Linked DNA regions of Neodiprion lecontei. The main gene of each other region encodes a partner of the protein of the gene in region 2 in a complex. Links are inferred from orthologs where the notes say so. Each region holds a gene or a part of one and is shown on either strand. Other genes may lie near its edges. The genes, in order: dolichol-phosphate mannosyltransferase subunit 3 and dolichol-phosphate mannosyltransferase subunit 1.

What was found.
Region 1: dolichol-phosphate mannosyltransferase subunit 1 (region 2) and dolichol-phosphate mannosyltransferase subunit 3 share a complex: the UniProt entries of both Homo sapiens proteins name them as parts of the dolichol-phosphate mannose (DPM) synthase complex. The link is inferred for Neodiprion lecontei from reciprocal best matches to the Homo sapiens genes DPM1 and DPM3.

What each region holds. Positions count from the first base shown.
Region 1 is NC_060260.1:27,862,205-27,866,484, reverse strand, and holds dolichol-phosphate mannosyltransferase subunit 3, read right to left. Parts: upstream 2,258-4,280; 5' UTR 1,834-2,257; intron 1,316-1,833; coding exon 1,088-1,315; intron 971-1,087; coding exon 911-970; 3' UTR 553-910; downstream 1-552. Other genes in the region: uncharacterized protein LOC107223439, read left to right, coding at 1-142, 217-389; egalitarian protein homolog, read left to right, coding at 3,788-4,280. UniProt on the Homo sapiens protein: Stabilizer subunit of the dolichol-phosphate mannose (DPM) synthase complex; tethers catalytic subunit DPM1 to the endoplasmic reticulum.
Region 2 is NC_060262.1:37,601,571-37,605,698, reverse strand, and holds dolichol-phosphate mannosyltransferase subunit 1, read left to right. Parts: upstream 1-1,964; 5' UTR 1,965-2,037; coding exon 2,038-2,177; intron 2,178-2,350; coding exon 2,351-2,561; intron 2,562-2,648; coding exon 2,649-2,839; intron 2,840-2,983; coding exon 2,984-3,203; 3' UTR 3,204-3,305; downstream 3,306-4,128. Other genes in the region: NF-kappa-B inhibitor-interacting Ras-like protein, read right to left, coding at 645-1,151, 1,463-1,561. UniProt on the Homo sapiens protein: Transfers mannose from GDP-mannose to dolichol monophosphate to form dolichol phosphate mannose (Dol-P-Man) which is the mannosyl donor in pathways leading to N-glycosylation, glycosyl phosphatidylinositol membrane anchoring, and O-mannosylation of proteins; catalytic subunit of the dolichol-phosphate mannose (DPM) synthase complex.

The DNA.
Region 1 (4,280 bases), on a different chromosome or scaffold from region 2:
AATCAGACGATCATACTTGGAGGGATGAGTGTATTGAGATTTGGAGATGACTGCTACAAAGTTTCAAGCAAACCCAGTAAGGGGGTTTGCAATCTGTCCTGTGTGTTAACTACAAGCAAGCGAAAAAACGACTATAAAATACGTACGTCAACTATTATACTACAATTGCATTTCATTTACACTACTACTTGATATTGTATGTTATTTTTTTTGCAGTTAATATCCGATCTAAAGGCCGTATGAAGTTTTGTCAGAAGATCTCAGTTGTGTCTGATTCAAAATTAGTTCCTTCGGAACTGCCTTCTCCAAAGACAACTGTTCCGTTTCCGAAAAATTTGAAGATGAGACATCCGTTATTTGGTGCAACTTATGAAGATAAAACCTCATGAGTACCAAAAACAAAAACTATACAGATTGAATTTACAAAATACATTTTCAATATGTTGACCAAAGTTTTATTTTCACCTGGAATTTTTCCAATTTGTTGATACATTATTGTATAATATATGTATATATACATATTTTTTTCGTCTAATAAATCTAAGATCACATTTTAGCTCACAATCAGTGTCTTAGAATTAAAATATTATGAAAGCTTATACATAAAAGAAAGGTGAATGTAGTGATTTACATTGACATTGAGTGTTTATTTAAATCTATTCGTTTAAACGGTTTGGCTGTGATGCACTCGAAAATTGGATACAAATATTGGTATTGTTTACATTGATACTCAGAACATGTCGTGACTAAAATTGTGTACTTCATATTTCAGAAAATAACCGCTGAACCATTTGATTATGAAATTACAGATTTTATTGTCTCACGAGATGCAAAAAACGAATGAATTTATTGCTGGACGATGAGAGGCATCAAATGCAACTGATGAGATATCGATACTTAGATTTGAGCTTTAATCTTCTTTAAGTGCAAGGCCTTTGCTACGAAGATCGGCTCTGGCTTCTTTGATTTCCTGAAATAGACAAATAGGTACTAAACAATGTGTAAAGTGTATCGATCTAAGGTTCTGTAGAACTAATTTTTTTTTGTTAATCAGCATTCCATGTGCAATCCCATGTTGATTGCTTACCCTTTGGAGTTCTACAGCAGCTTCTTCACAATTGTTGAAAGTGAAAGTTCGGTAAAGAACTACACTAACAGCATATAAGCCAAAGAGTATAATTAATGTTAGGGGAAGGTATAATATTGGTGTTCGCCATTTAATTAGGAGTGTCGATTGGGCACTACCAGTGATTGCAGCTGTCCATATACTGAAAAATACTGTGGCCACAAAAACCCATTCCATAAGCTTTGTCATCTTGAAAGAGAACAGATAAGAACAAAATGTTAGTAAGACACTCAACAATTAGAGTTACGTGACTTTAAGGTACAACCAGAGCTACGTTCCGAATTTACATCTGATTCCATAATTAACTTGAAACAAGAAGAAAGAGGAATGTCTCGAAGCGGTCAGTGAGGAGAGTGAAGTGTCACGTTTCAAGGTAATTGAGGAATTAGATGTAAATACCGAAAGTGCTACAGACAAGATGTGTTTTTTTTAAATAATATAGTCATAACCAGGCCATTATGGTTTGAAAATTTGAGGATCGATTAATATGGTTCGTTATCAATTGAATTAACCTTCTGAGATTCTGCAAAAATAAACAATAGAATCGTTTTTGCATATTTGATATACGGTGGCCGACAAGTGGCAAAATATCGTCAAGCTCCTTTAAAAAACTTTAAGGTACTTTGAAGTATTTAAATGGTGCATTTTTAGGTTAACTTTTGAGGGTGATGATCGAAAAGAGAAATTGTAGAATACACAATGCTTACATTTGTTTCGGGTGAATTCTCGGGGGAATTTTAACACCAATTACTAGTTGCAATATTGACGTTTAATATTTAAACTTCTTTCTGTTTAAATCCACGTCCGCACGCGGCGAAACGAATAAGTTATCTTGTTGGAAACAGGAAGTAGACATAGCTGGGTGCCAGCTGTCATCCACAACCGGTCAGCTGATACAAATAAGGCCACAGACCTTTAAATTATTTTTAATCTCCTGTTACTCGATCATTGTCGCGTTTAAAAAATACGCGCCGTATATCAACGTCATCAATAGTTTTGACTAACGTCTTTTTCTTCATTTCAGTAAAATAACATAGTTCACAAACGTTAAAGTGCACTTTACCCAGCAGAACGCCAGCAGTAAATTTATTATTCAGACAATATACGTGTCTTGTTTATTTTACGAATGGCAACCTGCAGAACTGTTCGGAACATTGCGTATGATTGCTATTATACATATTGTATCCCATAATCGTTGTGAAGTTGAAGTTGAAGATGTGAGAAATGATATTATGCACATCAGATGATAATTCAAGCTCAAGCGTCTATTATTTGAAAATTTTTTTGAAAGCTACAAGCGCTGTACATAATAAATATGCGAATTGCGTACCGCTTGTGCTATACTGCGCATATGTATACATAAGGTGGACTCTTTTATGAGGTAGAATAATTAGGCGTTGCGTAATGATATAAGAATTTCAAGTCAGTAAGGTAAACAGAGCGAAGATAGGTATACCGCGGTTGTACCCAGTGCAATTTTTTCATATATGTGACCCATTCAGAAATAAATTCCATGCCAACGCAACGGAAATGAAACTTCAAATTCGTGAGATTGAACGATATCGACAATGAGGCGTGGAAAAAATACATTCAGTAGGATAATATCGTATAATATCCACTATTAGGCCTGACACCCACGACATTTCGGACGAGACGCACGCTTGACTTTTGTGGTATTCACTTGACATATGCTTCCCCCCCCCTCCCCAAGCCAATTCGTTCACTCGCCACTTGCATCGCCAGGCAGACATTCTTGTGGCTCTTCGGGCCAATATGGCGATTGTGGAAGTTCATGCGAAAATGTCATAGTATTTTATAAGTTGTGTGTGTACCGTGTGGCCGCGGGCGAAGGCTGATATCGTGGTTAAATATATTTCAGGTGCTTCTGTTATAGTGGGATCGGTTTTTTTCTAAATTTTTCCCTCGACCAGCCTATTTTTTTTCGGAATCAAAGATAATTGAGGCCAAGCTCGGTCTTCGTTGCAGCTGAGCACTATCCGAGGTAACAAATTGTACCTGTTCGGGGGAAATTTTATCGTGACAGTTTTTAATATCCGTGATGAATACGTATTTACGTGATTTTATTAGTTTTTTTGACGAAATACTAACCCCCCAATTGATGTGCATATTAAATGTGTTAATATTCTAACCTCAAATTTTTTCCGGAATTTCGTGTAAATATTAAAATCTGTGGCATTTTAAAATTGCTATCTGGATAGTTCTATTTCTTACGAATTGTATTTATTCAGTTGTAGAAACTATCTAGACAGCAAGGCTAAAATATTATCTGCCATGAAAACCTATTTGCTTTGTTATTATGGGAACGGTATTTATATACACCCATATAAACATTTTGTATGCCAAACAGGTTATTTTAGACTTGATGGAAACTCTGCTCTCAATCTCACATAGCAAAAGTTTTTTCTACTAAATATATATGGAAGCAATGAAATCAAAAGTTCAGAATACATTCAGGGATTAATTACAAAATAAGATGAAATACTTTCGCATCAATAATTAAGTAAAAATATTTTTTTATGCACAATTAAAGTGAACTCAAGCTACACCAGATCAAGATTGGATTTGTACCACAAAGCGCACCATATCAATCCCGTAGCAGCTGCAGTACACTCATTGTAATAAAAATAGCACGTAAAGAAAATGGATAGCTCTGAGTATGAGTTGGTCCGCAATATGACTTTGCTATTTTTTTTCGAACGACTGATGGACAAGGGAGGCCCGAGAACTCTGCATGACTTAAGCTGCCAGTTTGGAGCGAAGGGCTTTACTAAAGAGATGCGACAAATTGCTGGCGGCTCTCAGAGTGGACTGAAAAAATTCCTCGCCAAATATCCAGCCTTGTTTTCAATCGACGGTGACTATGTTTTTGTAAATACCTTCCAACCTGTCGTGGCTGAGGATAGTGGATCAAATCTTGGTGGGAAGAGGGACTACGCCCAGGAAGCAGTCGAATATTTTTCGATGAAACTGATGCAATATGGAATCGGCACCGAAGTACCAATCAAAAGTCTTCTAGGTCATAGATCGCAAGCTTCTTCCGAGGTCAGACACATTTCTGGACAGCATTACAAAGAGTTTCGAGACTTTCTCATGAAATATCCTGACGCCTTTGCCGTTACAGAAGATAACGTTG
Region 2 (4,128 bases):
ATAAATTGATTAAGTACCAGAGTGTTTCACGTACATTAATAATTCGAATCGACACGCTACCAGATACATTTTCAGCCATGATTTAAAATTAGTCAGAATCAAATGAAAGTATCCTGCAATGGAATGTAAAATTTCAAGTTCACAAACTATTGTTGATAATGTTACTATGTGCAATTCAAAGAATTATTCATACATTACGATTTTGAACAAAATAAAGCGTACCAACTTGAGAGGAAACACAAAGTTAGATGCTTATATTTGCAGTTACATAGCCAGTCATGTGAGATTTATCCTATTCTTTAAATGCTAAGATAATACGATTCGTGTAAATCCGCAAATCTCAATTGTATAGGGATAAAATATTTATCATAAATACATAATAAACATAGTATTCAACATTAGTGATATAATTGCATAGTGTAACTGGGAACAAGTTTCTGGCACAAGTTTGGTAATAATTTGTTACTCACAGTTGGGAAGTAAGAAAGGGCTTGAGAGGCCCTTCTATAAATAAGAGATCCGAAAAAATTTCAGATAAAATTAGAATGAACATAGAATGCAGTCAATGCATAACTGTGGGTTATGAAAAGTGAAACTAATTCAGATTGAAATGGCTCCAAGTAGTTTGAATTAAAAGAAAAAATTCACGGTGCCTCAGCCTTTATAGTTTTTCGACCCATACTGAGCTGGGGAAACGTGCTTTTGTTGGGTGGTGGATTCAATTTTGACGATAAATGAACAAAGGCATCATACAGACTTGGTCTGTCCAATACGTTTACCTCATAATGCCTCAGTTTTTCTCTCGTACACCAGTTGGCTGCTTTGCTAGCAGTGTTTTCCAAATTATTCAACTCAACGTCAGGTTTTGTACGATTTCCAATAACGATAATAGTGATTTCTTTTTTATCTTTGTGTTTGTCTATGTCTTTTTTCAGCGGAAATAAAACGTCTAGAGATTCAGGTTTTGCAGTATCGTATACAAGCACATACCCATCGGCAAAGCCAAGGTAGTGCCGTGCCAACTGTGGGCTACTTGCATTCGTCTGTAGTGGTTCCAATCCAGCTGTATCATAAAATCGTACCTTTTCCTTTGTACCTCGATCTGTCTCTATATTTGCAACGTAAATATCTTCGATAGTAGGATGAATTTCCTGGAATAAAAATTAGTTTTTTTCTCGTTTTGTCTCAACCATTCGCTACAGCCACAGTACTTACATTATTTATAACAAATAAATAAGGATATATACATCTACTTTATGGTAGTCAGATAAGTACTGAATAGCGTTGTATTCTAATTTAGAAAAATCTTTGTTGACAATGTGTACAAACCCTAAAGTAAAAATAGAGGAGATTCTTCAAGCAATAATTATTTCTTTTTATGAACAAGGCGAAGCGCAGTTGGGCTGATAAATTTGAACGGTCTAACAGAAAAAGAATATTGTTATCCATATGATGATCTTACGGAGTTTGTGGTTACGTTTCCATAGATGAGTTGTTCCAAGAGAGCAGTCTTCCCTACTCCCTTCATTCCGCACACCACCACTCGAGTAGTTTTTCCCATTTTCGATAGCGGACCCGATCGGTTTACCTAGATTGGGTAAAACAAATGTTCACATCTTCAGTATAAATCCAGTAAAATTGTGCAATTCGACGAATACATACCGAATATCGGTTGTTAACTAATCAACAGCAACATCACACTTCTAGCCGTCAGACTACGTAGCCTGTTGCCGTCTATTTAACTGTGCAAAATGGTTTGTTCTGTCACGCAAATTTGCATACGATTCATGTTTTTCTGTCCTCCGTTCCTGTTAACCTCTTTTCTCTCGGAACGAATCAACATTATGGTTAACATCGACCACTTTGTAGTTTACAACTAACGACATCGACGAGGTTTCTCGGGTAACGTCTTCATCGAAACGCGGCTTGAATGTTCTTACACTTAGCTGTCCGCCGGGTGCTGCCACGTTCAAAGTTCACATTGAACTATGAAGTAGCAATGCCACGGTGATCATTTGACAGTAAACAGCTGACAAAATGAGTGGGGAAGGTTCGACGAATGAGGAACTCAAAAAGCTCACAAAAAATGACAAATATTCTATTCTTTTACCAACTTACAACGAGAGAGACAATTTGCCCATTATCATTTGGCTGATTGTTAAGTACATGGAGAAAAGGTGAGCAATTTTCAACCTAACCTCTAAACTACTACACTGTACTCGTTCACTGGTGCACACATTCATTTGAAGTTACCCAAGTTTAATGTGAATAAATTGCTGTGGTCACGGATTTCACCACGTGCATTTTGTTATTACTTAATTCAAATGGGATTTCACATTATTACTTCTAGCCAATGTGCTTACGAAGTGATCGTTATCGACGATGGTTCACCTGACGGGACATTGGAGGTAGCCAAAGAACTTCAGAAGATTTATGGCGAGGATAAAATTCTTTTGAGGCCTCGGGAAAAGAAGCTTGGTTTAGGAACTGCTTATATACATGGAATCAAACATGCCAGTGGAAATTTCATCGTCATAATGGATGCTGATCTCTCTCATCATGTAATTCTACAATGCACTTTCAGCATGGTTTTCAAATTTTTTGTTTATTCATGCCAGAAAGTAAATTGAGATTCCGTTTGATTTCAGCCAAAATTCATCCCCAAAATGATAGAGCTTCAGAGATATTTAGACTTGGATATTGTCAGCGGTACCAGATACATTGGAGATGGTGGTGTTTATGGATGGGATTTTAGAAGAAAATTAATCAGCAGGGGCGCTAACTTTATTACACAATTATTACTCAGACCTGGCGCAAGTGATTTAACTGGAAGCTTTAGGTATCAACATTTTCATTCATTTGTTCAATTCATTCTAAGTTTTCATTGATTGATACCATATTTAGTTTGGTTGAGTAATTAAATTTTAGACAAAGTCGATTCTGAAATTATCACAACAAATTTGTGTATGTGATTATTTTTCAGGCTGTATAAAAAAGACGTCTTGGAGAAGCTGATTAAATCCTGCGTATCCAAGGGTTACGTTTTTCAAATGGAAATGATCATCAGAGCAAGGCAATTTAATTACCAAATAGGAGAAGTTCCTATTTCATTCGTGGACAGAGTTTACGGAGAATCGAAATTAGGTGGTTCTGAGATATTCCAATTTGTAAAATCAATGTTGTATCTTTTTGCCACTACGTAAGATTATCATTTATAACAAACTTCCTGAATGCAACGTAATAACTGATGTCTGCATTACAGCACACGTTACTACCTGATAATTTTAATAAATAATTATCACCAACATGTGTAGTATTATTTGTCAGAAATTTCACTTAGATCCATTGTACCGATATTGAATGAAGAGGGTTATAAGTTGTGACGTGGTATTTCGTACCCCGTCACTTTGTTTAACTATCGCACTTCCCTAGGTACAAATATCGCTAAAAATAACGAAAGCACGTCTGAGGCCAATACTCCGAAAACGAACGACTAATTATCTTTAAGTTAAACTCTCTTTATTAAGCTAATTTTATTCTATTTTCTAATTTTGTAACGCTCTACAAGAACCATCTACGAGACCTCCGCTTCAAGATACCAGGACACTGCCTGCCAGGGGTCACGTACCAGCTCAACACCGACCACCACCGACTACAGACGAACGAATACCGCTGAAACCACTCCCGATGGATGCCTATCTAAGTTGTGAACAGGGTTGTGCGTGATGCACAAACAGCACCTCCAACTATTTGAGACTTATCGGCCAGGGGCCGAACCACGAATGAATGCTTCTACCGCTCGGATGCATCGTCAGGCAGCGTACAGGGCTGTGCGTCAAAAACACAACAAAGCCTCCCGTCGACGATACTTATCAGCCTGGAGCCGAACCGACCATGACACCTACTAAGTCGTTGTCTATCAAATAGAGTACGGTTTTCTCTTAATGAACCGTCCTATCGAAGGGCTGTGGCGTGGAATAGGCTAGACTATGCTGACCACGTGGATCTGGTGGATATAGCGTGGGGATCCGGGTCGATAGCCATCACCACCAGATCGTTCCGGCATGAGGGCTTCAATGAGCGAGGGCCGGGATGCAGCGCCAACGAAATAGCTACAACGGGGAGTAC